4 linked regions of the Notamacropus eugenii genome follow. The protein of the gene in region 3 interacts with the protein of the main gene of each other region in a pairwise test. Links are inferred from orthologs where the notes say so. Each region holds a gene or a part of one and is shown on either strand. Other genes may lie near its edges. The genes, in order: AKAP10, AKAP1, PRKAR1A and C5H2orf88.

What was found.
Region 1: the proteins of PRKAR1A (region 3) and AKAP10 interact in a two-hybrid assay, tested with the Homo sapiens proteins (3 studies listed by BioGRID and IntAct). The link is inferred for Notamacropus eugenii from reciprocal best matches to the Homo sapiens genes PRKAR1A and AKAP10.
Region 2: the proteins of PRKAR1A (region 3) and AKAP1 interact in a two-hybrid assay, tested with the Homo sapiens proteins (2 studies listed by BioGRID and IntAct). The link is inferred for Notamacropus eugenii from reciprocal best matches to the Homo sapiens genes PRKAR1A and AKAP1.
Region 4: the proteins of PRKAR1A (region 3) and C5H2orf88 interact in binary tests that used the Homo sapiens proteins (3 or more experiments, as listed by UniProt). The two-hybrid records come from large-scale screens. The link is inferred for Notamacropus eugenii from reciprocal best matches to the Homo sapiens genes PRKAR1A and AKAP19.

Annotation. Positions count from the first base shown.
Region 1 is NC_092873.1:41,114,898-41,122,545, reverse strand, and holds the start of AKAP10 (A-kinase anchor protein 10, mitochondrial), read right to left. Parts: upstream 3,017-7,648; 5' UTR 3,009-3,016; coding exon 2,864-3,008; exon of another isoform or gene 2,712-2,863; intron 1-2,711. UniProt on the Homo sapiens protein: Differentially targeted protein that binds to type I and II regulatory subunits of protein kinase A and anchors them to the mitochondria or the plasma membrane.
Region 2 is NC_092873.1:369,175,795-369,183,631, reverse strand, and holds the start of AKAP1 (A-kinase anchor protein 1, mitochondrial), read right to left. Parts: upstream 3,008-7,837; 5' UTR 2,924-3,007; intron 1,655-2,923; exon of another isoform or gene 1,587-1,654; intron 1-1,586.
Region 3 is NC_092873.1:331,704,186-331,711,685, reverse strand, and holds the start of PRKAR1A (cAMP-dependent protein kinase type I-alpha regulatory subunit), read right to left. Parts: upstream 3,020-7,500; 5' UTR 2,468-3,019; exon of another isoform or gene 2,061-2,467; intron 1,967-2,060; exon of another isoform or gene 1,587-1,966; intron 1-1,586. UniProt on the Homo sapiens protein: Regulatory subunit of the cAMP-dependent protein kinases involved in cAMP signaling in cells.
Region 4 is NC_092876.1:257,520,221-257,526,962, reverse strand, and holds C5H2orf88 (small membrane A-kinase anchor protein), read right to left. Parts: upstream 2,837-6,742; coding exon 2,564-2,836; 3' UTR 512-2,563; downstream 1-511.

The sequences.
Region 1 (7,648 bases), about 290 Mb from region 3:
TTACCCACATTTAACTGCAACTAGCACCTCAAATAAAAACTTTGTAGACTCACAATCCTTTGATCCAGAGACCCCAACACTAATGATATAGTTCTAGGATGTTATTAAAAGATAAATAAGACCTATCTGCACAAAAATATCCATGGCAGCTTAATAATAGCAAAAACTAAAAATGACCTAACTCATCTGGGAATGTCGGAGTAACCTGCAGTAGGATATAACTGTAACTCAGTACTAGTACAAATAAAAAATGACAACTAAGAAATGTAGAAAGCCTTGTAACCAAGTGAAGTGATAACAGCAGAATTAGAACACACATACCATACTAAGAACACATTTTTAAAAAACCTTCTAAAAATAAGTTATAAGTATACAGATGGAGAATGAAAAGAAAGACAACGCAAATAAACTATTTTGTTAGAAAAAAAAAATACTGCCTTAAGTCCAAAGAGTACGCTGGGCTTCATCAAGAGTAAAAAAATAAATAAAAGAAATGAATTCAATTTTAAATGATAAAACAAATTTTAAACTCATTTTAACTGCTTCATGTTAATTCTAAGCAACAATAATACACCACACAAGAAACCTCAGTATTTCCATCTTTTCACTTGTGAGCACAAGATCTGCCTATTTTCTATGACACGAAACAAGGCTTGAGGGAAAAAAAACAACTTCACAGAACATTTCTCTTTGAACACATTTTGTCATCTTTGCTTCAGTTATGAACAATTACCATATTTAAGGATGCTGACAACTTCCTTTCAAAATATACATTTAACATGGCTTTGCCTAAAAAAAGGCATTAAACAATAACTGCTGACATAGAAAGATGGCTAAATTAACAGTCATCTGGATTCTAATTTCTGATCTGCCATCTCAGTTAAATGGAAACACTTCAAGCATTTTGAAAAAGGATAAAAAACCCTCTACAAACATTAAGGCATTGGGACTGTTGCTAATAAAGGCAGCTAAATGAATTTGCACATATTGCAAACTTTTGGGGAAAAGGATATTTCCACAATAAGAAAGTGTACCCAGCACACAGCTCACCAAAGTTGTATCTCATTTTTACTACTACTATGTGTATTTATTCATGTCTCCAATAAAGCACTATGCTAGGTTTTAGGGATACAGAATCAAAGCAAAAAGCAGTCTCTATACACAGGCAGAGTTTACACTTCACCAAGGATGTGGAGAGAAATTAACAATTACAGACATAGCCAATGGCTTCCCAGCAGAGGTAGTGAGTGATCGGTGCCTTCCAACCCTGTGCTTTTGGGGAATAACCAGCGCAAAAGCAGAAGGAAGAACAGGGAATGCTAAATTCAAGGAACAGTAAGTTGGCCATTGGCTGGAACTCAGCTTGAGAAGGGGATAATGTCAAATAACCCTGGAAAAGTAGGTTGGGGCCAGATGGTGATAGGTCGTAAATGCCAAGCTAATGAGTTTGTGTTGTATCCTTGAGGTAACAGGAAACCACTGGAGATTTTCAAACAGAAGGATTATATGGCCAAACCTGTGTTTTCTGGAAGATTACTTTAGCAGCTGTGCAGAGAATGGATTGGAGGAAAGAAAAGAAAAGTCAAGGGTTCAATCTGTAGCCTGTTGCAATAGTTTCAGGTGAGAGATAAAGAGGGTCTTAACCAAGGGGATGGCTCTGGAGACAAGGGGACAGAAGTGAGACAAGCTATGGTGACAGAACTGGTAAGACTGTGCAAATGACTGGATAAGGAAGAGGACAAAGAAACTGGGTTAGGTGAATAATTTTTTTAATGGGTTATCCAGCTTCCTTATTACATTTAAATGGCTCGCTGTTAGGGTGACCAACCTCTTCATTCATTCGTAAAAGACTGACACTACCTACCTCACAGGACCGAAAGGCGGAGGGGCATAGATGCGTTATTTTTAGCATTCCTAGGCTAGTATAACTTTGTCACTCACACCATCACTGCATCCGCTAACCGCTGAAGCAAAAACTTACTTTAGGAGATTAGGAGAAATCCTTTATTTCTGAACAAGAACAAGGACTTGATAGAAAAATACTACCGAAGGGGGAGGTGGGTCTCCAGCGGTTCATTCTAGTGGTCCGCTCATGGGGATGGCGGGGACCGGAGCCGGGCTCTCGCTGGGCCGTGGGAGGAGGAGCCCTCCTGGGCCAAGCAGGTCGGCTTCTCCCCCCAGGGGAGCGTTCATCCCGGACCTCGCTGGGCCCCAGACCCCGAGTCCAGCCTCCTCTAAAGTGACTTGTAACAAAGTTCGGTATCCGAAGCTCGGCTTCCCTGGGTGCCTCCGGGGCACTCGGGGGCCGGAGCCGAGGCCAAGAAGCGCCGAGGAGGCGCCTACTACGTGCCGGGCGCTGCGCGAAGGTCACTCGTGGTCTGTCTCCGAGCGCACCCACGGGCCAACGCCACGGGCTCCGGGACCAAGAGCCAGGCACCCCGGGGCGACCTTGGGCGGGCGGCCTGCCCTCAGCTTCCTCCCCGGGACAGGGAAGGGCAGGATGGGCGCCCCTCGGGGAGTCCTCCAAGTTCTAGGGGCCCAGGCGGCTCCAAGGGTCAAGTGCAAGGCCGGGGTCAGCGCGGCGGGGGGCCCGCGCGCGCTCCCGAGCCCGGCCCGGCGCAGAACTGCGCGGGAGTCCGGCCCCGCTCCCGGAGCCGGGAGCCCGGAGCCCGGAGCCCGGCCCCGCTCCCCGCCCCGGCCCCGTCGCCTACCTTTCCGCCGGAAGAAGGCCATGGCGGGGCCCGGGTCGGGGCGGAGGGCGCGGGGGGACTCGCGCGGGGCAGCCCCGGCTCCCCTCATTCAGTGACCGGTCCCCCCGCCGGAGCGAGCGCCGGCGGCTCCCGCAGAGGCCTGCCCAACTAACCCGAGAGAGGCTCCTTCCTCCCGGCGCCGCCGGCGCCGCCGGCGCCTCCCGCCGCCCGGGCGGCCGCCACAGCCGCCACCGCAGCCGCCATGTTGTCAACAAGCCGCCCGCCCCGGAGTTCCGGCCCCTTCCCGGCGCGGGGCATCACGGGAGGCGAACGCTTCCCCACCCCCTCCCCGCCAGAGCTCCGCCCCCTCGGCTCCGCAGCCCTCTCAGCACACGTGATCCGCCGGGGAGCCTCAAGCTCCGCGGGTCGGGGGCGGGGCGTTTCCTCCTCCCCCTCCCTGCCCCGCCCCATAGGCGGGGCTCTTCTGCTTTGACCTGGTTCTCCCAGCCAGAGGCTCTCTTCTTGGCAGCTTTTCTCTAATGTCAGGGATTATTCACCGTGCTTTTAAAAAATATTTTGACAACTGTATTTGAAGATAATAGGTCCCCTTTGTAATCCTCTGTATCTTATTTAATGCATTTAAAAAGATTCCTCTGATTGCCCAAGGGGTCTAGGACACCCCAAAAAGTCAAGAACCTCTGACAACGTGCTGCTCCTACTCCTTGGGGGCTTTGTACCTAAAACTTCCAAAGAGGATACAGTATAGCTAATTAATTAATAGTTAGCACTACAATAATAAAACCCTGAAAAGCCAAAGGCACCAGCTAACAAGGTGGGCAACCTACTGGGTGCCAGGCGCTGGCATGAAGGTCAAGGATGCAGTTTGCACGCACGCGGCAGGACTCCGTTATCGGTGGAGCTGGGAACATTACAACAATTTGGAATTATACTAAAAATAATTCAGTGAATTGTGGGTGCCCTTGGAACCAGTGATAGCACTGGTAGACATTCCCCAATCAATCAATAAACATTTATTAAGTGCCTGCTATGTACAGGCACTGTGCTAAGCACTGAGAATACAAGTACAAAAAAAGAAAAGCAGCCCCTTCCCTCAAGGAACTTACCATCTAATAGGGGAAGAAAGGGGAAGAGGAGGAGAATGTACCAGATGGTAAAGAAGGCATAGAAGTCCCAAAATGGTCCTGCCAGGTGAGAAATGTTCTGTCACCCTGGAGTCAGGAGGACCCAAGTTCAAATCTGGCCTCAGACATTTACTAGCTGTGTGATCCTCAGCAAGTCATTTAATCCTGATTGCCAGGAAGGAAGGAAGGAAGGAAGGAAGGAAGGAAGGAAGGAAGGAAGGAAGGAAGGAAGGAAGGAAGGAAGGAAGGAAGGAAGGAAGGAAGGAAGGAAGGAAGGAAGGAAGGAGGGAAGGAAGGAGGGAAGGAGGGAGGGAAGGAGGGAGAAAGGAAGGAAGGAGGGAGGGAAGGAGGGAGGGAGGGAAGGAGGGAGGGAGAAAGAAAAAAGAAAGAAAGAAAGAAAGAAAGAAAGGAAGAAAGAAGAAAGATGAAAGAAAGAAAGGATGTTTGGAGTTTATGACCCCACCTTCCAGTTAGTAATGAGGTGAAATGCTAAGTAAGCTTAATGGGATCTAACAGGATGATGAGGTGAGCCCAGGTTCCAGGAGCCTGGAGGTTCTGTTTCAGTCAGGTGAGAAATGAGATCTAAGTCATAGGGAAAGTCTTTGCTGTACAAAACTAAAGGGCATCCCAAAAGTCTTAGTGTGGAAACTGCACCATCTTTATATCATCATTTAAAAAATGACTATTATGGAAATCTTCTGTTTTTACGTCACCTACATTTTCCAATGTATGACTCTCCTCTAACATTCCTAGAACCCTTATAAGGGTTTTTTTTTAGAAGAAAAAACAGTTCAGTAAAACTAACCAACATATAGAAAAGGTTTAACATAAGAAGCAGTGTTCTACACTCAACCCATTCCCCCTCCTCTTTGAAGAAAAAGAAGTGCTTTCTCCTGTCTCTTCCTTGGAGCCAAGGTTAGTGGTTCTGATTTTACAAGATGACCTGGGTGGATGGCTGAAGCATGGTCTGGTGGCAAGTCAGCCAGTAGATATAGTGGGTGAAGTTTGCAGTCACCTAAATGGGTTGGGAATTCCCAAAATGAGTATCCATAATCATTGACTGACTGACTGACTTCCCCAGGATCTGGGGCCTAGATTCCAGAACATATGGTGTATAAATCCAGGTATTAGGTCTGGTGTGGAGGATGCAGGTCAGCATCTCTGACAGCAGGTGAAGTAGCCTGCCTGGATGGCTGGATGGGGTGTGGAGATGAAGCATAAAGTCTTGCTGTTTTCCTGGTTGTATTTAGTTCACTGTAAAAGGTGGGAGTGTGGGAGTGGGTCAGGGGGAGAGGAAGAGAAACAGAGGGAGGAAAAGAAAAAGAGAGGGAGAGATATAGGACAGACAGAGATAGGCGAGAAAGACAGAGAGAGGGAGGAAAGGAAGGAGAGAGGGATAGAGAGAGACATAGATGAGAGATAGAGAGGAGGTGAGGGAAAGAAGGAGAGAGGTGGGAGAGAAAGAGATACTGAGAGAGGAGAAAGAGAGAGAGGGATGGAGAGTTGGGGGGTATGAAAGAGAGAAGAGACAAAGATAGAGAAGAGGGGAGGAGAGGGACACAGGATCCAAAAGGATTCTGTCTTCCCTACCTCACATTTATTTAAAATTTCTCTTTCCAAGTCATTTTGACTTCCATTTTTGTAATAAGAGTGAAAAAGACAAAATTCCACAGAGATAAAATGAAGATACAAAGTTCAATTTGTTGTTTTTTAATTTGCTTAAATGGATCACTAATAAAATAATGAGAGAATAATTTTCCTGAAACCATTTAAACCATGCAAGATTAGAGAAAGAGGAACTTTTATTGACTGGATAAATCAAAAAATATTTATGTTCCTATTTTTGTCAGTCAATCAACAAGCATTATTTATTAAGTACCAACTGGGTGCCAGGTACTGTGCTAAGAACCAGGGATACACAGAGAGGCAAAAGACAGTCCCTGCCCTCATGGAACTCCCAGACCAATGGGGGATACCACATGTGAACAACTCTGTAAAAGCTACATATATGCCCAGTAAATTGGGGGGGGGGTGTGGAATGGCATTAAAGGGAAGACATTCAGATTAAGGAGGACTAGGAAAGACTTCCTGCATTAGGTGGGACTTGAGTTGAGACCTGAGGGGGAGATGAGGAAGAGAAATGCAGGTACTGGGGAATTTATTTTCAGAAAGTTCTGGTTCTTTCCTGAATTTGGATTAGGTTTCCCTTTAGAAACTGGTCAGACCTATCTTAAGGATGAACCCATAGAATTTCAATTTATTGCCCCTCTGGAATTTAAGTACTGATAAGGCTGTTTCAATCAGGTGAATCTGAAAGGACTTTAGACTGAAATTGTCTTCTTTCTCAGTATTTCCTTTAAGAAGAGGAGGCCAGTCTTAGGGGCACCCTTCCACACTATTATCTTGGCTCTGTGTTTTCTTATTTGGGTTGCCTTGGGTAAGTGAAGCACACACATGAGTATCTGGGATCCAGTTCCTTTCTTTCTCAAACTTCTCCGTATCATCCATATCTGTATCCCTGGGAACCCTCCAATATGTTGGGTAGGTCTTAACTGGGAGATTTATTGGAAGATATAGAGAAGAATATTGCAAGATGAGAGGGCATGCACCTCTGAGGGAGAGGTATGCTCATTGATTAGCCTCCAGATTCATTCAAGTAGAGGAATGTCTATTGCCTACTTTTTCCTGGAAAGTGAACTCCTTCAAGGCAAGGACTGTTTCATATTAGTCTTGGTATCTATCCACTGACACCTAGCATGGTGCCTTATCTATAGACTCAATGATCTTGAGTTGGAAGGGAACTGAGAGACCATCTATCACATTTTTACAGATGAGGAAACTGAAGGTGGGAGAAGTTAAGTGATTTACCCAAGATTACACAGGTAGTAAGTAAATAAGACTTTCTTTGTCCACATTGGGGGAGAGGGGGGCAAGGAGGTCACAAATTTTCCCGAGGTACTTAACATCTTTCATGTGGTAAAATAATCCTCCAGCCCCAAGATCAGGCAAGTTTTTGTTTTGGAGTTTTTATTTTATTTTTAAAATTAATTTTTTCCTCTGTATCTCAGATTTGTATTGAGTGCCAACTATCATAGACCTAGAGCTTGAAGAGACCTCAGGAGTCACCTAATTCATCCTCCCACTCCTCCACCCCCCATTTTACAGAGAAGAAAACTGAGTCAAGGAGCTTAATTGACTTTTCCAAGGTAATAGGATCATTCTGTGGTCAGTGTACACAGCTTGTTTGTTTGCACTTACAACTTTATGAAGGTTGGAGAGAAGAAAGGAGGAAAGAGTAAACACACTGAATCCCATGCAGGCACATAGCACTGCAATACAGGACTTTGCCAAGACTCACATGAAGAGACTTGCCTCAGGTTCCCTAGTGGCTCTGGAGCATTGAAGAAAGTCACAAACCCTGGCCCTCAGTTTCCTTCTCTGTAAAATGAAAGGGTTGGATGTCAGGACTGGTTTATAAGGTCCCCCTTCCAGTTCTGACATTCTATGAGTTGCCATCAGGGGTTGGGGGAAGAATTTCAGCAAAGAGGAGAGTGCTGGGGTTAGGGAGTTGAGATCCTTCAGTTTTCCTTAGTGGGGGTGCGGCAGGGAAAAGCCCTCTCTGTTCTGGGTCACTAAATACCCCTTGGAGCTGAAGTCCTAGCCTATGTCAGGTGGGAAGGGACAATGAGGCACTCTCCAAAACAGCGGGGCTAGGGAAGGGCAGACCAGGACCTCCTTGCCAGCGGGGAGGGAACTAGGCCTTGGGGCTGGGAGAAACAGGGCTGTAAGGAGGAGGAAGCCCTGGAAGGATGTGGA
Region 2 (7,837 bases), about 37 Mb from region 3:
GTGGGTAGGAGCGTTTGATAAATGGGGGAGAGAGGGGAGAATTAAGTAAGCATTTAACTACTGCCAAACTCACTCAAGTCAATTATCTACAATTTCTGGAGTATCATCTAATGTAAGAATAACCCTTGGAATTCTAGTCCCTTCAACTGATCTCCATATACCTAGCAGGGTGTCAAGGGAGTCTTACAGTTGGCGCTCCTTATTTTATCACCATAATCCAAACAAGTTCTCTTTTCCACTGCAAAGAGCCACGTACATTGGACTGAAAAGTGGCTTCCAATCCAGGCTACGCTACTTAATACTCTGTGCAACTGTGTCCCCTCCCAACTATCTTACATTTATTCTGAACACAGGTACATACATACATTGTCTTCCCCATAGGCAGTAATTTTTGGAAAGCTGGTATCTTTTCCTCCTTTTAATCTCCAATATCTAACATAGTAAGCACTTTAAAAATATTTGTTTTCTTCAGTTCTCTTTGCCCCAGGTTCTTTTCAGTCCTGTATTTTTATGCCCAGCAGTTTACCCAGCAAAGAGCACATAGAATGGGACTTAATAAATGCTTGTTAATTGACCTGGTTAAAAAAAAAAAAAGAAAAGAAAAAAGAGGGAGTTCAACTAAAGAATCTCACCCTAGCACTTACACTTCAGTCACATAACTAGGAAGAGATAAAGCCCTTATAAAAACACAATCTCATTTACTTGCCCTTTAAACACAAATAATTAAAAGCACATGTTATTTTATTTGGAATAAAAATTATTATCCTATTTTGCCTTAGGGATTTAAAAAACTGCAGTGTTAAATGTTAGTTTGGTTCTTTGAGGGATTCTTAAATTCTGATCCTTTTACTGCTACACGTGCTTTGAAAAGAGAAAGGGCTGAGATCTCTTCCGAGGTGAACAGGAAAGAAACTCCACTTTACTGCTAACAGGCAGAGTGAATCCAAATGAAGACAATCAGGTAATACCAAGTGATACTACAGGGTTTTTATTGTTTTTGTTTTTAAAAAAACAGTACAAAGTATCATTTAAGTATTAAGAACAGTTCACTTCTAGCCAGCCAAAGCTTTGTTTTCTACACATAACATGGGCTATAAAACAATGGAAGGGCCAACAAGTTTTGGATTTAGTTCCTATTATAGATTATAGGTACCTCAATTTATGATTCCTACATGATTTATGTTTATTTAAATTGTGTTAACAAAGAACCCTTCCCTCATTGGTGATTAAAACTCGCGCGGGGAGGGGAGGAGAGGAGAGGGAGAAGATTGTGCAGGCTGTACAAAGTCGTTTCAGCTGAGATTGGTTTCACTTCGTAGAAATACTCAAATACCAAGTAGTCTGTGCTTAAGTTAGAGGACAATAGTTAAACTAGCCTCTTTTAAAAAAAAAATTCACACTATACCAACTTAAAAGGTTTCTCTTTAGGTGTTTCTACCTTCACTTAGAGCAAAGACAACTAGTTATCGGTAACAGCAGATGGGGAAAGTGGGAACCTGCTGGAAAGGGCATCTGCTACCAGAACTAGGATCAAAATGTCAGCCTGTTTCTATTTTGACACCTGACCTTGCCCCCAGTTTACACACCTTCTGCTTGTCGTTCACCTCCACTTCCCAATTCTGCCCCCAGGAAAGTGAGGGTGGAATAAGTTTTCCTAAAGAAGGGGAAAGGAAAAAACAACTGGATCTCAGTTACATAACCTTCAGGCACTTCCCGTAGACTCAATGAACAGCACAGGGCCAAAAACACAAAACAAAAACCCGTTAGTCTCATGCACTTTCTGCCAGCTGCCGTCCAATAGCGCTGAGAGCCACTAGAGAGAAAAGAAAGGCTGGCCCAACTCAGCGCCCGCCCCCTCTGTCCTGAGGCTGAGTCGAGTCCTGCCCAAGCACCTTCTCTCTAGCTTTGTTTTAAGCTGTGATTGCAAACAGGTGCGTGCGCCCCCCCAAGAGACCCAGCACCCAGGTCGCTGCCGCAGGTCCTGGGGGAATCCCCTCTGCTCGGTAACATTCGTCCAACAACCACCCCGGGGGCCTCTCCCACGAAGCACGGAACTCCACCAGCTTTTCTCTAGGCGTGACAACTCCTGCTTTGGAGTCTCCATCACGTCCCATTGCTTCCTCTCCCCAAACACTAGCCAAGAAGGGTTTTTCTCCTCGTTCCTCAGCACTCATCCCCGGGCTCACACGGTCGATTTGGCAAAATACTTCTCCGCTAACGTCTACCACGGAGCAAAGCCACATCAGTTAAGCTATCAAGGGGCCTGGCTCTCGGTTACCACCTGCCTCACTCGGACCTGGGACGGGACCGGGAACGGGACCGGGGCCTAAGGGCGGATGACATTTTTCTTCAGTTGCTGTTCAAGGCTAGTATCTCTAGGAGCTGGGTGGGCAAGGAGGGGGGCGGGAGAGCCAGTCCTCGGACCCCACCCCCGGCCCCACCCCACGCCAGGGCTGCGCCCTTGGCATCCGGTTCTATCCCAAGGCCCCCTCTGCCCGCTCGGGCTGGGTACACACGACCTTTGGAAAGTAAACGCACGCGGAGCCGGGCGACCTTGGGTGGGACACGCTCAGCTCGGCGGCTTTCTCGAAGCGGAGCGCGCGGCGCGGGCAGCCGGGCAGGGAGGGAGGAGCGGCCAGAAGGAGAAGTTAGAGGGAAGCACCAGCCCAGGACCGGCCGAGGACGGCGGCGCTGGGGAAGGTGCGGACACACATGGCTGGGAGAACGAGGGCAAGGAGGGGTCGCTGCTCCGCCCCGGGCTTCCCCCGCACCTCTCAGCTGTCCCCACGAGCCGGGAAGACAGGACAGGCGTGGAAGTGAAGAGGAGAGCCCGGGGCCAAACGCCCGCCGACCGCTGCCTCCCAACCCAGCCGGGGCAGAGGCGGGGAGATCTCCCCCCCCCACCCCGATCACCCACACTTACGAGCTCTTAGGCGATCGCCCCCCCAGGAGCAGTCAGTTCACGTGCAGCTACCGCTGCCCCCGCCCACCCCCGACCCCGCCGCCGCCCCCTTCTCCGCCTCGGCCCAGCGACTCGGTTCGGCTCGGGCCGCTCCCCCACGTGCTCAGCCTGGCTAGGGGAACTCTGAGACTTTAAATAGTGAAGGCGCGCGCCGACAACGTGCACGCGCTGAGAAACCCCGCCCCCCTCCTCCGCTCCGCCTCCCAGCTCCTCGCGGTTTACCCTCGGCTCCGCCTCTAAGACACTACGCACGCGCACTGCTCCACCTTCTCCGCCCCGCCCACACCCAACTCCTTGCTGCCTCTCCTTCACGCACGCGCAATTCCATGCTTCCCTGCCCTCCACCTACCGCCCTGCCTTCATTCACTTACGCACGCACGGGTTCCACGCTCCCGTCCTCCCTCCCTCCTTTCTCCCCCGCCCCCACCCAACTCCTTACAACCCCGCCTTCTCCTCCTGCGCACGCGTGGCCCAATGATCCATCTTTCCCGTCCTTTGGCTCCTCTGCTCCCCCAACAGTGCCTTTCCCCGCTGCGCACGCGCACTCAGCATCCCTCGCTCCTTAATTTGCTTGTCCCTCTCCTCTGCGGAGAGTTGACCGTGTGTTCCATCTTCTCTGGCTCAGACCTGGGAGCCCAAACTCTGTACGAGTCTGGACCTAAGTGTTAGGGAGGCGGTGTAGGGGGTGACCCCGGCGTGAGCCTTCCCTTCCTCCTTCTGTGACCTTGGACAGTAGTCTCAGCTCAGCCACCACCTTGCAGAGTGACCTTAGACAAGTCGCCTTCCCTTTCTGGACCTCACTCGTCTCCTCTGAAAGGTCCCCTCCAACTCTAACAAAGCTTTTCTGCCGTAGGGAGGACTCAAGCACTGAGTGCCCACTTCGTGCCAAACACAGTGCAATGTGCTAGGGATACAAAGAAAGGCAGAAAACCCCAGTCCTTGCTGTCAGGGCGCTGGCGTTGTAACGGGAGAGATGATGGCCAAACCACCATAGCACAGTAGCTAGGTACAGGACCAGCTGGAGACATTAGCATTAGCACTCAGGCTATTAAAAAAATAAAAGTTCCTGGGGAGCGCCCCCCAGCCCACATGTGCCTCCGATGGGACGGCGAAAGGCTGTGTCCCTGCGGATCGCTGGTACCTAAAACCCAAGATAAAGGGTTCCTTGCCATTTGAACAAAGCCATCAAGGTGAAGATGAAACGTGCTCCACCAGTTGTCCTAATTGTGGGATTATGATTCATGAGCAAAGAGGCTCACCAGAGGGGAGGTAGGCACTGCTGGCTCCTTGGCTGCCTAGGAAACAGGCTCCGCGACTGTCCCAGGAGGGCCTGGAGGGAGGGATTGGACCTGGAGACACCTTCTCACTCTGAAGGCTGACTTCCCCCGTGGAAGAGTCTCTGATCCAAGGGTGGGGAACCTGGGGCCTCGAGGCCACATATGGCCTCCTAGATCCTTGGGTGCAGCCTCTTGACTGAGTCCAAGTTTTACAGAACAAATCCTTGTGGGGATTTATTCTGTGAAGTTTGGATTAAGTCAAAGGGCTGCGCTTGATCACCTAGAGGCTGAAGGTTCCCCAGCCCTTGTCTGGTCTGTTCCACACTGAGACCAACTAGCTTGTCTCACAGAGAGTTCTGTGAGAAGTCACTAGAGAAGAATTATTTTTAAAACACATCATTAAAATTGACATTTTAAATAATTCTTTCAAACCAGGCTTTTATTAAATGCAAATGTGTATTAGGCTTGGTTAAAATTCATCAAAGGATTTTTGGGGTTTAATTGCATCCTCCCCTGTCCACTCCTACATGTGTGTTAGACTTCTTAACACTTCTATAACTTTTTGATACAAAAAGACGCCTGTCTCCAGGATTTTTAATGACAGTAGGTCTGTAGAGTTGGTAAATTTCTGCTGTGTACCATACAATGGATTATATTCTGCTACCAGATTCTCATCAGTGATGGGCCTTTGTCCCCACAAATTATGTGGATCATAATAATAAAAACCTCCATTAGGAGGAAGAATTGATGTTTAATTAGTGTTTGTAAAGTTGGGGGTATTCTGTAGGTCAGGGACAAATGTCTGTTAAATTGTAAATGTAGTTTTTTTAATGTAGAAGAGATCTAGAAGGCTTGCTTTTTAAAAGCATATATATATACTATGTATAAATATTTATGTTTATTATGTATTATATTTATATGTCATAGATGAAATATTATATACACATACTAAAGCTATAAATAAAATACTGGAAAATGACCACATAGGGTAGAGATAATACAAATGGGTTGGACAAAAGGGTGAACTAAACCCAAGGAGTGGAATGGTGAAATACTTATATATCAGGGGTTAGATTGGAGTACTCATCATGAGGCATAATGCTGAGTTCTCCTGGCAACTTGTAGGGACACCATGTAGGTAAGTATGAAGGACTTGCTGCTTTCTGATGACATAGAAAAACCCTCAGTGGTCTCTTCGTTGGAAACCTTGTTTTCTCACTCCCCATCTAGGGTGAGGGTTGTGAATTGGAGAGAATGCGTTAGAGGATTGGCTATTGAGATAAGAAGAGCCATTCATAAAGAAGGCTTTAAAAGGAGTAACTCAGATTTCTGGTGAGAGGTAGAAGAGACGCCCATCCACCCCCACCTGGGGCCTGGCAGCATGGCAGCTTCTAGAGCAGAGCACAGAATATGTGTCCCGTCTAGGGGAGCCTGAGCCTAAGACTGGGCCTTGTGCCCCTGGCTGCCTCATCTGTTCTATGTTCTGCCTCTAAGCATCAATGACTGAATATTGATCCTGCAATAGCTCTGACTAATCTTAAAGGCAGCCTCATGGGTTTAAGAAGTCAGGATCTCCTGGGGCCCCTAGTTGAAGCTGATTCAAAACAGAAGGATGGCCAACAGAAAAAGGAATTTGACTTCTGATCTAGCTTGCCAGAAGATGTTGACCTGGAGGAAGACAGTGCAGAACTGAGCCAAAGGTGGAATACACATCCATCAGACCCATAAAATGGTCCCTCATTGCTTTAGGTATCAACCTCACAGGAGAACATGATATTAGTTATCAATTATTTCTACTTGCTTAAGTCTTTGTCATCTTTACCCTTGACATTTTTCACTCTCCAAACAGGACCACCAGAAGCCATACTAGGGAGGAGCTAAACCACTTGACTCTCCACTCTGTCTTTGGGCAGCAGATGGGTTAGACTAGAGACAGACTGGTGATGGTTGATTGCTTTGGGTCATGTGATAAGCAGCAGAGAAGGTGTAGTGGTAACCGTATATTTTTCACTGGCCCCCCAAAATCCTACATGCTCTACAAGCCTGCTCTAGGACCCACTGTCCTCATTTTCAAGGAAGCTATTTCCACTCTGCCTCAGCTCAAGTGGCCTGGAAGGGACTCTTGGACCTACAACTATTGCCCAGGTCAACAATTAAGTGTAAGAGTGGAGATCAATTGACTCAATTCAATCCAATCATGCCACCCCACTCAAATAAGTTACAAGGTGCTACACCCAGAGTGTTCTCAACTCTGTCAGGAAAGGACAATTAGTGAATTCAAGGGGTAAAATTAGGCATGACCTAGGTCTAGACTTTAACCAATCGATCATAGGCTTTAGGTGAAGTATGAAAAAATCTTTGATCATTGTAGAAGTTCTTGAAAATCATTGAATGAACTGGAATAATTGTGCATAGCAAGTCTTTTTACAATTGGTTAAGATAACTTATTTGTATCATGAGGGTCATTTAAAAAACATCCAGCCAGCTTGGATTCAACTCCTGGTAACTTAGGGTGAAATAGATGATAGATAGATAGATAGATAGATAGATAGATAGATAGATAGATAGATAGATAGATAGCCCTTCAGAAAGAATTGCCTGGCATGGTGGGGAGAAGAAGAGAAAAATAAGGCTTACTTGGTCCTTGGTCTCATACTCCTTCCCCTCCCATCTTTGCAAAGAGGAAGACCATGTCAACTTTGAAGGGTCTGGAGGATCTGGGATTTCCTAGACCTCTTATCAGCATCACTGGACCAGGCTGAGGAAAGGCAGATTCAGAGGTCTACAAGGAATTCAGCAGAAGGACTGCACCATACCTAATGGAGACATCTTGAGGATTACTATAAAAAAAACAAATTTCAGGAGCGGTGAGTTACCCCATCACCATACATTCTCAATAACGTGAGCCCACTTGCAGCTAGGGCCCTCTTGCTATGTACTTGTGGGAGAATGTGGTACAGATTTTTAGGGGAGTATTTTGTACCAACAATATCACTATGGTAAAATGCCCCTTTCTAAAAGCTAATTAAAACCAGGAGAACTTTGTACACAGCAACAATCACAGTGTTCGAGGAATTTTTCTGGTAGACTTAGTACTTCATAGCAATTGAAGGACTTAAAAAATTCCCAATGGACTCTTGAGGCAAAATGCCTTCCACATTCAGAGAAAGAATTATGAAATTCGATCGCAGAATGAAGCAGATCATTTTCTTTTGTATTATGTTTTGTTTTATGGTTTCTCCAATTCATTTTAATTCTTCTATGCAACATGACTAAGGTGAAAATGTATTTAATAGGAATGTATGTGTAGAACCTATATAAAATTGTATGCTGTCTCAGGGAGAGAGTGGGAAAGGAGGGGGAAAGGTGGGGGAGGGGGAAAAAAATCTAAGATATATGGAAGTGATTGTAGAACACTGAAAACAAATAAAATAATTTAATTTAAAAAAACAAAGATGTATGTTCATAAGTTTAAATTTAAATTAAATTGAAAAATAAAAAAATAAAAGCTAAGTCTAGTTGGCTAGTTGATATCAACTGATAATCATGAAATGAAACATATTAGTTGTGAGCAGCTGGGGGTGGGCTCATGGGCAAT
Region 3 (7,500 bases):
GCAGAGTTAAATTAGATCCTTTACCTTTCAAAGTCTGAAATCATTTCATGTATATATGACAAAAGTTATCACTATAAAAACACATTAAATTATAAATATCAACCCTGACTCTTCCGAGTCAAATCACAATAGCAGCACAATGCTTTAAAACACCTGATCATGGATTAGAAGGGAACTCAGAGGTAATCAAGGCCAACACCTTTGTTTTACTGATAAGGAAACTGAGGCCTCTAATAATGAACCAAGAGACCACAAGAAAATGAGAAGAAAAAATCTGAAATCACTTGAATCTCTGAATAACCCAAACATGTGCCATCACCTGATTGGAAAGATTTATTTTTAAGACTCTAGAACTACAAAAGCTCCCCCAAAAGGCTAATTATTCTAGATACTGCATTTCAAGCCGTTAGCAATCCCTGCTTTGTGATTCTCAGTCTAGAGCACTGCCTAGTGGGGTTAACAGCTTTCCTGCTTGGGTTAGCCTCCATTTTGACACAGAGAAACGTTCTTGCCAAGCTGAAGATATATTGCTTGGAAATGAAGTTCTCATGTTAAAGACAAACTTCTTGAATCTTCCATAATAGCACAAAATTAAAGTTTTGGTGGTGGTTGTTTTACAGCTTGCCATGCTCATATGGGTATTACTTGTGTCCGAAACTTCGTTTATTCAGAAATTCAGCAGCAATACCTCTTCAGTTTAAATGGTTTTCTGTCAAATAAGAGATTTAACATCTTATTTTGACAAAATCTTTCTGGTTCAGAACAATACCTATTAAGAAGGCAGCCTACCAAAGGCTGAGCCGATGCTAAAAAACAGAAGCCTGAGGGAGAAGGGGCACAGCGTTACAATGGAAGTAAACTAATGATTTTGTAGCCATTACACAAAAGCTACGTTGTAACTATTGTGGGATCTTACCATTTTTCCTGTATAAAACGAACTGTGCTTTTGTTACGACTCCAGATGAGAATAAATTACTCCCAAAAGGAAAAAATGTGTTCCTACTTTCATGTGGGGCAGGGGAGATAGAGACATTCAAGAGAATTGTTCAAGACTACGCCCGTAGCAGGAGAATCAAGACTGTAACCTGGGCCATTTAACCACGCATCAGTTTGGGTTTTTTGGTTTGGTTTAGTTTTGAGGAACAGCAGAATACTGCATTTCATTTCATTTACGCCCACAGGGACTCCGGAAAAGAATGAAAAGGGGAGGCCAAATTACCATTCCAGTAGTAGCTGGCAGGCAACAACAGTAGAGGAAAAGAGAGATGGGGGGGGAAGGGAGAAGGCAGGAGCAGAGAGATGTGTAAACCCGGTTTAGAGGTAGGTGAAGAACAAAGGAAGAGGAGGGAAATACTGCTCAATGGGGGGAAAAAGGAGAAGAAGGTGCATTAGATGACAAGAAGCGGGGTGGAGTTAAAACAAAATGCCGTCAGGGGAGTTTCATTAACAAAGACTTGTTTAGGATCTGTGTTAGAGGAACGGGTAATAAGAATAATAGCATACGATTGTAACAATAATAACAGCCATAATAGTTAACATTTATATATCGCTTGAAGGTTTGCAAAGCCCCCTAACCAATATCTCACCTCAGTCTCTCAACCACACTGAAAGGTATCAGATGTATAGCATTTGAAAGCTCGCAGACCACTTTCACATATTTTATTGTACTGGATCAGATTCGGATGCTCTTCTCTCTCAGCATCGGGAGGTGGGGGTCAGAGAACCGCAGGAACGAGGAAGGAGGGGGCTCGGGGATGGGCGGAGCCAGGGGAGGGCGCGCGCGAGCCGAAAAGGGAGGGGTGCGATTTGTAGGCGGAGGGAACCGAAGGTGAATGCTTCTCGTCTGGTGGCGGAGGGCTACAGAATACAGCAGCGAGGGCGGGGGGCGGGCGCAGCCCCGGAGGCCTGGCGGGGAAGGGGGAGGGGAAAGAACGGGTGGGTGCGGCCCTTCCCCAGAGCGCTCCGCGAGGCGCCATCTTGGATCCCTCCAGCCGCAACAAAACGGATCGGCCCGGCAGCGAAGCGCGACCGAGGCCGGACCCCGGACACGCTCCACTTACCGACGTGCTGGCAACCGCATGCTCAGAGGTCCCAGGAGTGGGCGGCTGGGAGCCGTCTTGAACACGTTTTGCGTCGCCCCCCTCCACTGTGGCGGTTCTCAGGTGCTCTCGACAGCCTGAAAGCTCCCCCCTCCCACCGGAAACTAACCAGCCACGACCAATCACAGCAAGATCACTGACGTCAATGGGCCTCGGTCTGGTCAAGGTGGTTGCCCTAGGCAACCTTAAAGGGGAAACCAGCGCCCCTCCCCCCTTCAAAGTCCCTCTCTGTCGAACCCCACCCCCTTCCCCAGGGACCCTTCTAGCCTTGGCCCCTTTCTCCTCTGGTCCTACTCTGCAGCCTTCCCCCGTTCCTCCTCTCTTCCCCCCTTCTTTTTCGGGTCCTTCCCGACCCCCGACCCTCTCACCTGCTCGTCCACAATCTTTCTTCTTGTGGCTCTCCTTTCTTGCTTTCTCTATTTCTCTTTTTATATATATGTTTTTCTTTCCCTCTCTCTTTTTCTCTTGGTCTCGTTCTAGACGCTACGCGTCCAGACTGTCCCTCAGGCTAGACTGTCTGCCTCGGTCTCCCTTTTCCTCCCTGTCTCCTTCTTCCTCTCCGTCCGTCCGCCTGTCTCTCGGTCTGCCCGAGCTCCACCTCTTCTCGTCGGGCTCCTCCTGTCGCCTCTGCTGCACTCCCTTCCTCGTCCTCTTCCTCTCCTTTCCTCCGCCTCTTCTGACTAGTCGGTCTTGTCTCCCCCTTTCCTAGCCCCAGACTCCTCACGTGGGCGGAGAGGAGGGGGTGGGGAGGCGCCTCTGCAGCTGCGCCCTCTTTCTCTGCAGCCCCTGTGCGGGGTGGGGCTGGAGAGGGGGGCTGGGGGGAAGGTTTCGTGCTGTTCCTGAGGCCCCGGGCGGCTGCGGCTGAGGCTGCGGCAGTGGATGCGGCAAAGCCCTGCTGCCATGGCAATGCTGCAGTGTCTGGCAGCTGCGGTGGCACGTCCCGACCTGGCCGCTCCCTGCCCAGGAGCCTCTTGGCAGCATGGGCTGGGAGGCTCAATTAGAACACCATCTAGCCCAGCCCCATCAGTTTTCAGACGGGGAAACTGAGTTCAAATAAAGACGGGAGACTGAAACTGCTTTCCTAGGGACGAAATAGCTTGGTCATAATTCCAGCCGTGGGAGTCGGGCTTCAAGTGTAGGTGATTTGACGCCAGTATAGGTGCTCTTTCCTCTGACACCTTATTGCCTCACCTTTTTCTCGTAGCCCAGTTTCCTCCAGGTTGTCATATACTGCATTTAAGACCTCTCAGGGTCCTGAAATAAAACATATTTAAGTCTTGGATTTGAACACAAAGGAGAACTCCTTGCTCCTGTTGTAGAGGAGAGTCCATCATCCTGGGATCTGTGATTCAATGAGAATGCTCACAAGCTGATGGGCCAAGATTATGAAGGAAATTATAAGTCTTAAGTAAAAATTTTAAAGAATAAACATACTAAGCTTCCAGCACATATTTATATGTTGCCCTAAAGCATATTATGTCATTTGACTGTGGCACTGAAGGAAAAACCAGTCAGTCTCCCTTTAGGTCATCAATTTTGACAAAGGGAGACAGAAAGGGAGAAAAAGAAATCTTACCAAAAAAGCTACCTTCACCGTTATTTCAGAATCCTAGAAACTGGATTGTTTTTAAAACACATAATCTAATCATCTCTCACAACTTCATGTCGAAATTTCTCTCCAAGCTCGGTTGCAAAACTATAATAATGAGGGAGACAGGCAGGAATAAATTCAAGGACAAAATGATACCTCTGATCATTTCTTACTGATCTGATTCTTCCTTTCAAGGGGAAAAAATGGGGAAGTTGTTTCAGAAGGATTGTTTTAAGACTTTAATTAAATCTTACTGGTAGGCACATAGATTTTGCTGTATGCTTCTGTTCTCTTTTCACATGTGTTTCTGCAGAACCAAAAGAATGAGCCATGAGTGTTCTAACAGGAAAGAGACAAATAAACAAAGGATTTTTTTTGATTTATGATTGTCCCTCTTATATCTGATAGCTAAGACAAGCACAGTCAAAGGCAAAAAAGCAGACTGAACAAATGAAAAGATAGCAAAATGCTATAGAGGGTTGTAGCTGGAAGTCTCTCTCCCAAGGGTGTTCTGTGATGAACATCACAGGTGACATTTACTCTGTGGCATGCCTGGTGTAGTGGAATGGTAGGATAAAGACAGCTTCTTTCACACAGGATTTCACACCTAAGAGCAAAGAAAGAAGGGACTGATAAATATGCCCTCAGCTGTCATGCAAAAGAAGGGAACAGGATACTGTGAAGCTAAAGGGTCACCCAAGCTACAAGGTTATGCCCTTTTTGGACCATGTGGGCTCTGTGCCATGTTTGGTTTTGATGTAATATTTTGATGAGACAGCCTCAGAGAAAAGACAGTAAATTGGGAATATTAAACATTTTCTCCTGTTATTTGAGTGACAGCTGCTTACTCAATAAAGAATGAGGTTTTTATTCCTACCCATCTGCACTATAGGCACCATTCCAACCAAGGGCAAGAACCATACTGTTTTCTCTGTCAATAGTATTAGCTTTGTTCCAAATGCCAAATCCATATTTACTGGAGAGTTGGGAAAAAAAAAAACAGGAAGAGAAGCTGCATATAGCTGAATTTGGGTGGGGTTTACTGAGGCAGCTGGTGATTTATTTTTTTTAAGTCATGATGGCTTATAAATTATATAAATTCCCCCTTGATAACTCCAGATAGGTGAATACCGGATTATATATGACATTTCTCAATGGATGTTCTTATATCACAATATGTAATCTTTGCCATATTATGCTTTCAGTGTAAGATTCCTCAGTGTCCAAATGTCTACTGTTCTTCATCCAAAGCTTCTTTCCCTATTTCCTTGAATAAATCTAGCAAACGTAAGTGAAATCTCAGTGAAGCTGAGAAATAAAATTAAAGGAAACAAAGCCCCTAAAAGCCTATATCTTGGGTCTCATTGTATTTAAGATTGTTTTTTACCAAGGACAAACTCATAGACTTCCAATGAGAGCAATTAAGACAAATTCTATCCTGTTTGTACTATTCAGTCATGCTGAATGTTTTGCCTCTCGTGGAACCAAAGATATTCAAATTACCCCCAATTTTGCAGATTTCAAACACAGCCTTCCCTTAGGAAACATTCAAATTACATGTTACCATGACTTGCATGTAGTGGAAAGAGAATAAATTTGGAAATGAGGGGACGTGGGTTCAAGATGGCTCTGCCACCACTGTGTGATCTTCAGCAAACCATTACATATCTGTGGACCCTAGTTTTTTCTTCCCTAATGTGAATGAGAGATTGGCCTGGGTGAAGTTTAGGGTCCCTTGTAGAATTCCCTGAATTATATGATCTTATGATTCCTATGGGAAACAGTTTTCTATCACTCAAGAAGCATTTATTAAGCCACTCAGCTAGAGAATATGATGTGGATGATGAGCCTATAAAGGAGACAGAGAAAGACTAGTCAAGCAGGTGGAATAAGAACCAGGAGAGAATAATAGTATGATGAAAACCCAGAGGGGAGAGAGTTATCTATGAGGAGAGGGTGGTAAACAGTGTCAAAAGCAGCAGATAAGTTGAGAAGGATGAAGACTGAGAAAAGGCTATCAGATTTGGCAATTAAGCAAGCACTGGTAACTGGAGAGAACAGTTTCACTTGAGTGATGAAGTGAGAAGCCAGAAGCCAGCCTGCAGAGGTTTCAGGAAGGAGAAAGAGGAGAGGAACTGAAAGTAGCAAGTGCTGGGTGATTTATCTTGAGTATTAATAAAAATTATAAATCAAGTTTCATGCAAATAGATATCAAGGTTCAAATCTCAAATAAATTTCCAATGAAGATGAAAGTATATTGAGGGGCAAGTTAAGTGGTGTAGTGGATAGAGTATTGATCCTGGAGTCACTCACTGTGTGACCCTGGGCAAGTCACTTAACCTTGATTGCACAACACACACACCCCCAATAAAGAAAGTATATTGAAAATCATCCCACTCAATAGTAGAATGGTTATAGAGCAAGACAATACTGGGAAGGATGAATCAGAGAAGCGAAAAAGTAAATAATCCATACAGGTAATGAGGATGTCCTATATCAGTGTATAACAGGGAAAGGATGTGAAAGATGCTGTGGAGGAAAAAAAATAAGATTTTTGCAACTGATTGAATTTGTGTGTGAGAGAGATGAAAGAGTCAAAGATAACCCCAAGGCTTTTAAATCAGTGATTGAATAAATGGCAATTCTATTGTTGGAAATACTACCTCTATCATGTGAAGACTTTCCCAGACAGAATGGGCAGATGAGAACATTTTGTTCCAAGGACCATGAAGGTAGCTGAAGCAGGCACTGCCAAGCACTTAAAGCTTGATCAGGCATCAAAGACACCAAGGGCATCTACTGCAACCTGGGCCATCACCAGTCATCTTGACTTTTGTCTTAGAATTAGACTCTGGTGACTCAGAAAGAGAGACTAAGGCTGATGACTGTGCAACTCTACCTCACTTAAATCTGATTCACATAAAAAGTCAAGATATCCCCTGTGATGTCATTGGTCCTCTTCAAAAACAAAAGATGAACAACAACTACAACAAGATAAAATGAGGGATCAGCTTCTTGCAGAAATATGACAGGCTTGCTTTTGGACATGTGAAGTTGAAGATGCCAGTGGGAAAGCCAAAGAAACTGTATAAACAATAAAGATACAGGTCTAGACCCTTAGAGAGAAGTTAAGGCTAGAGATAGAGCTTTGGAAGTAATATGTGCAAAAGTCAATACAAGACTTAATAAGCACCACAAGAGATTATCAGGAAGAAGAAGAGTGAGTGAATGAAACACTGATCAGACAAAGAAGTGGGAGAGAGCCAAGAGAATATGGAGTTTTTGAAACCAAGAGTGGAGGGTATTACCACGATCAGGGAGGCAGCGAAGCTGAAATATATGACAAGAGGGCTGTGGTTTTCAGTAGCCCTAACAAAGCCCTAACGAAAGCCCTAAGCCTTTTTCTCACATTGCAGCTGCCTATAGACAGTAGATAAAAGCAAGGAGAAAGCCATCCCTTCCAATCTTTTTTTTTTTTTTTTTTTTAAATATATCACTCCCCTAGTACCAAATGTCCTAGCGGGTGTTTTGGTTGAGCAGTTCTAATGAAACAACAGAGCTGTGCGTAATGACAGCAGAAAAGAGCAAAAGAATCGGGTCAGACCTCTTCATGACGCAGCAGTGTGGCTCAGGGTTGGGGGAAGGGGCAGGGGAAAGGGGACAGAAAGGGGAGCATTATTCTTTCTTTGTATATCTGGTTTAGTGTTCCCACTATTGTAGACCATGCCTCAAAGAAGCTCAAGGTTTAAAATATAATAAGCCCTTGTGGAGCACAAAATAGAATTAAAACCACCTTTACTGTGAAAGGAT
Region 4 (6,742 bases), on a different chromosome or scaffold from region 3:
GTCTTGTTGCCACAATGCTCAAAGCTACATATATATCTATGTATACATAAATACCTATACATGTATGCATATATAGGGTATGTGTGTATATACATACATACATATACACACATACATATATATGTTTTTTTAACCCATTCCTTAGACTAGAAGTGGAAACCAAATTTTATCAATTGCTTGACATTCTTAAGCCTTCAAGGGCATTGTGGGAAAATGAGATGATGATGTAAAAAACTAAATGTGTTTTAGATTTCAGATATAACATTAATTAAAAGCGGTAACTCTGAGGTTTTGGTCCGACTTTAAGCACATGTAAACTTTCTAAACTTTTTCACCAGGAATTTACCACATTGGAAATGTTATCAGCTGAACTGAGGGACTTTCCATTTAGCATCGGACCCACAAACCTCAGCTCCTTCCATGAACAGGAATCATCTACATTTCTCTGGATTGTAGTTGTAACAGTAGGAAAAGTGGAATGTTAAGAATCATACACTCCTTAAAAAAGGGCCTAGGTGGCATACTTTTTATTGATCATGGGTCCAAAATGCAACTGGACTTAATGCACAAGATAACATCAATAATAAAGGTGACTTAGCACTTATTTTTAAAGAAATACATTAGGTAGGATTCTCTTGTATTTGAAATAAGTGAGTAGAGGTATCTTTTTTTTTCTGACTGCTTTGCTGTGCAGGATACATGTATCCTTATTTACGTGCTATATCCTCCCTTTCTTTCTCTTTAGACTTGGATGAGGGAAATGGAGACAGTGGGAACACTAACAGCAAATCTGCAGTAGCTCATATCAGTGCTAGGTTGCAGTAAAGCATGGCCCTTATCTACTCCGCTACAGTTAGTCCTATAATTCATACCCAGTTTTTATTACAATGCTTTAAACAAATGTCCTGAAAAGTGTGTGCTTTAAAGAGACCATCCATGCCCTCCCTCATCCCCATGAAACTGAACAGGGAATAATTTGCTAAAAAGCTAGTACTGTGAACACTGAAGTTGGGTTCAGCTTAGACTCCATGGGTATGACCTTACAAATAAATGATTCATTCTGAAGTTTTCTTGTTAAGTTTTTGGTAGCTGCTCCCTTGGAAAAGTCTTCGAGGGTTTTGCCATAAGGTGCTCACTCATCAGCATTTTAGTTTTCAGAACCAGGTCTGTGAAAGTGACAGAAGGAAACAGTTGCAAGGCACCCAAACATACATCAGTGTAGGCAAACGATACTACAGTTTACATCTCTAAGTCCCCCATACTCTGCTTTTTTAAGGGCAGCAATGTTCATTTAATGCTGACAGGTATGATCAAACACAACCCATAAGGTAAATTCATAGCTTCTCTAAAACAAATTACTGGACCCACTTGGCACACAGCCAGGCTAGCTTTGTAGGCAAAGCAGTGAGGAGGAAACAGAGCTTAATGGGTTTGGGGGTTTTTTTGGTTTGTGTTTAAAGATTTAAGCTCTAAAGGCTTAACATCTCATTCATTACACTAGCTAACCATAATCCTTTTGGGAATTTCCTGGATTTCTAGACTCACCAGAAGCTGGTAGAACAGCAATTAGGCAGGACTCTAGGGTGAAGATGAGGAAAATCTGCCTGCCTCAGCCCACGTTGAAAACTCACTGCAAATTCAGCATCAAGACCGGTGCCTTCCAGCTGGGGGTGGTATGACCATAACCACCTGCTCATTCAGTTTTAGCATTGACCATCACCCTAAGCTTTGGTGTTTTCCAACATCTTAGGATTTGAAATAAGTGGTTTATACATGGGGAGTGCGAGTGATTTGATGATTGCGGGTGGGAGGGCTGCATCCTAAGGAATATTGTAGTTTAACCCTGCTACTCAAAAGTTAATTGATAAGTGCTTTTCTTTAATGTATTTGATAAGTTTTATTAAGGGAAAACCTTAAGGGCCTCTTCAAAAATGCAAACAAACTATTTTCTCATGATAAAAAGCACATAGGTTCTCTTTAGCTGTCTATTTCTGGAGCAAACAAAGGCTGTCCATGAATGGGAAAGGGGGCATTTTTGCTCTAACCAGCCCCAAATGTGATGTTTGTATGGGAACCTTTCCTTTCATACTGATGATCTTTGCCTGTCCAACAGTCAAGTATCATTAGATAGTGGAGCTAATAGCATATAGTTAAAAAACAATGGCCATGAACAGTGATAGTTTTCATTCTTTGGCAATGCTGCATGGAGTGATAGGCTTGTCTCATGACTGTAGGAGAGTAGCCAGTTAAATGTTATCGGTGCCACAGGACCCCACGTGGTCATTTAAGCTACATCATTTAAGCTATGATCCAAGGCAAACAGAGCAGAAAACATTCTTCCTCTAGTGCTGATCACAACAGACGTTTCATTTTTAAAGCACCTACTCTCCCATCAAAGCAACTGTGGTACCAACACCAAAGACATTTTACATACAGCTGGAGTTCTTGGTACTTAATCACATCAGTTTTTGCCTTCTTCTGTATTTGAACTAGCACCAGTGTACACTGTTTAAACCTATAGATAGTTTCACGGAGTCATTCATTCTAGAGTGAGCCAGGAGCCTCAGGGCATTGCCTCACTCTCAATGTATGGGATGTCCCCATACCTGATGTCGTTGGCCGCCCACTGCTTCACCGCTTCATCCATGATTTCCTGGGACAGACGATGGGCATACTCCAACACCACCACCCTGGTGGAAGAATCCTTCACAACCTCTGTTCTGACAGAAATCATCGACGGCTTTTCCGTTAGAAATCTCTCCTCACTGTCATGTCTCCTCTCAGTTGAGATTGTGTTGGGAAAAGGGAAAGTTTGCTTTGACTTTATGCAGCCCATAGTAATCAGGAACCAGGCTGAGGAGGAGGGAGATGTCCAAGGCTACTTTAGCAGCATCTTTGGAATACTCAATAAACCAGCGTTTTTCTTCCTATGAGCAGGAATCAATACCTCCTTTCACCACTCTTCTCATTTATGGTTTATCTGTCAAAAGAGCAAGGGCGCAGTTTGAGGTTACAGAATACTGGATGATCTGGTTCTCTAAAACCTATTACTTTTACAATGAAGAGTTGATAAAAAGTACAGAAATGACTTATCTTGCAGATAGAAGAAAAATTCACTTGAGCGTTAGGATTAAAATTTTTTAAAGTTACCTGTCAAGATAAGATTAAGCTTTAATTATGGGTTAATTCTTGTTTTTCCTTTTTTCATTAATCAAAACTAGATGATTTTTAGTTGGTGGGAAGCTGTTGATGCTATTGAGGGAAAAAGGAAGAAGGTTCTTGATTTATAGACCCCCAAATTAACTCTTTTATCCTTGTCTGCAACTAGCAGAAATGCAGCTTTTTTCTGTTAAATGTTTGGTGTTTTTCTTTGCTGATCATACCCTTAAAGCACAGTATTCATGCAAGCTAGGTATTAAAAGACAACAAGCATTGGCTACTTTTGACATAATATTTGGGGATTTTTTTTATAATTTTGTGGAGAAAACGTAAGAGATTCCCCTCTTCCCAGCATTCAGTTCAACTGGTAGTTGTTTTGGAGTTTAGATTTTTGGAGGGGAGGTGCAGACCTGTGATCTATTTGGAGGAGGGAACTGCTGGCTTAGCAGAATCAATAGATATAAATCAGCAACTCAGTTGTCTATAGTCTTAGCACTTAGAGCACTGAGAGGTAAATTTACTAGCCCAGAGTCATGAAGCTACCACATATCAGCCAGGGTTCTGACTCCCAGATAGCTCTCCATTCACTAAATCAGTGCTTTTCAAAGTGTAGTTCCTTAGACCTTTTTCAGAGTCTTTGAGGTCAAAACTATTTTTTATAATATTACTAAAACATTTGCTTATTAAAATATTCTTCTCTTTTCCATTTATGTATCTGCATTGGGTCAGATTTTCTCAACACATAGCAAGAGAATGTAAAAATAGTAATAATACCTAACATAATGCCTACTATGTGCCAAGTCCCATGCTAAATGCTTTATAAATACCATCTCATCTGGTCCTCACAACAACCTTGCAAAGTAAGTGCTGCTGTTATTCCCCTATGACACTTGAGGAAACTGAAGCAGGCAGAGATTAAATGGTTTGCTCAAAGTCACACATCTAATGAGTGTGTGAGGCTGGATTTGAACTTGGGTCTTAGAGACTCCAGACCTAGCACTCGATCCACTTTGTCATCTGGCCCCCCCTAACGAATATGAGAATGTGTACACTACTAAGCCAGATATCAGAGAAATTTGCAAAAATTATAAAACAAGGGTACTCTTCTTACTAATTTTTTTTTTACAAAAATAGTTTTCTATGAAAATGTTATTTATATCAAAATGTAATGGGTTTGTCATTATTTTTAAAAATTAATAACTAGTTTTAAATATTGAGTGAAGTTCTAATATGATACCTATTGATACTTAATTCACACAAACAAAAGGTCCTTTGGGGTCCTCAGTAGTTTTTATGATTGTAAAGGTATTCTGAGACCAAAAAGTTGGAGAACCACTGCCATGAGCTGTGCCATCTTTCATGTTTGTTTAGCAGGTAGAATTTCAGACTTGAAAAAAAAAAGCCTCAGCAGCCATCTGGTCTTCACGCCTGAAGAACTCTAAGTCTTGGGAAGTTTTTTCCTTACTTCAAGCCCAAATTTGCACTTCTACCCTTTGCTTCTAGTTTTCCCCTCTGAGGCAAAAAAAACCAAAAAACAAAAAAGTCTACACCCTCCTCTAAGAGGTATTTGAAGATATTTGAAGACAGTTGTCATGTCTTCCTTCTCCCCAGCTCCTCCCTCAGTTTAAGTTTTCTCTTTCTCCGGCCTCTGTTCTTTCATGAATCCTCATATGGATAAGTTAGAAGCTCCTTGAGGACATGGACTCTTTCGTTTGTGTTTTTGTATACCCAGAGCCTGACCCAGAGGAGGCACTAAATAATAATGCGGGATGTGACAGCATGAACTCAAAGCCCTTTACCATGTGTCTGGACATTCTCTAGCTTAGTGACGTCTTTAAAAGTGTGCTGTGCAGAACTGAGCAATACTGTAAGTGTGGTCTGACTAGGGCCAAGGAAGGAGCCCATTGGCGACTCCTTCTTCCTCGGAGTTATCCTTGTCTCTTTCTGTAGCCTAAAATCCTCTCTCATATTTGAGGTTGATTTAATGCCTTTGTTCTCCTGAGCTTTCATACTTCAGTGACAGTCCCCAGGAGAGAGGACTGACAGATAGTGGGGAGGGCAGTACATGGATCTTCAAGGATGGAGGGGATGAGAATCAGAATCTTGGGACTTGGATATGGAAAGGTCTTTTTTTAGAGGTCACAACATTTGGCCCTCAAATTTCACAGATGAGGAAACCGAGGGGAAGCGGATGGGCTGAGGTGAAACTGAAGAGCTGGAATCTGAACCCGGATTTTCTAGGTTCATATCTAGTGTACTTTCCGCTAGATCATTACTATGTTGTTTATATGGCACCAGAGGGCAGAACAGGAGCTCTGGGTGAACACTGCAGAATCAGATAGGGGCTTAAGAGGAGGAAAAACTGAAAAATTCAAACTGCTACAAAATGGATTGGGCCACCCCAAGAGGCCAGATTTCCTGTTCTGCAGTTTCTGTTCCATGTCATGAGAGACCTGTAGGTAGAGGCTGGCTTGACCTTCAGGATTTATGCTGGGGATTTGTGTTTCAGGGCACTTGGGATGGAAGACCTCAAAGGTCCCTTCCAACTCAGATTCTGATCGGTAAATTAATTTCATTTGACAACATTCTCAATTTTCCAATATTCTCCTGAATATCTAAATCTTGGGCAAAGATTCAAGGAAAAGAAACTTAATGGTAATCTACTGCCTACAACCCAAGTCATGACTCAGAATCTGAGAGCTCTAAAAATGTATGTTGGGAAAAACTCAGTTGGCTTCCCAGTTCTCATCTACCACTCCCACTCACTTTTACCACAAAGGTAAAAGCTGGCAGAGAACCTATGACACTATGCCATAAGCTAAGCACAGGTTTGTGTGTGTCTGTGTAATGACTGATCCCTAACAAGGTCACACTTTGTGTAATGCTCTAACTTCAGATTTTTAAAGTGAGCCACAGGAGTTGCTAAATTCTCTTTATCCTTTCTCTAAACATGTTAACTGTACTCAATTATAGTAAATTATTCCCTTTTGGGCATGTTTACTATAGAAAAAAGTCTTTTTTTAGCTAGTTATTCTGAAAGAAACACAGATAATTTTTTTCCAAATTTAAAATGAAGTTACTGTTAAAACTTGAGGTGTTACTTATCTTCAAATATTGTCAAAAGAAATGTATCAAAAGCTGTCATCCTGGACTATCGAAGGCATGTGGAATTTTTAGCTTGGAAAAGAAAAAAATATCTGCTATGTTTATGAAAGGGTAGCCTGTAGAGAACAGTGTGATCCAAAGTAGATGGCCAACCTCATGACTCCAAAGGGTTTGTGAAGCTACCAAATGGATGATGAGTGACATCCCACAATAGGCAACCATGGGCTTATTTTCAGTATCACAGCCTCTACCCATCACCCCACAATACTCCCTCACTCTGCTTCCCCTTCCCTCTCCCTCCAAGATCACCCTGTGGCTGTAGCAGTGGCCAGTGAGTAGCCCCCTCCATCCCTGCCATTTTGGTGGGACAGAGTGAGCAGGCATGGATGGGTTGTGAGCATGATCTTTCCCCACAAAGGCCATGCCTCTTTACAAAGGTATACTCTCATTCTTCTAGTCACCCAGGTTGGCAACCTCA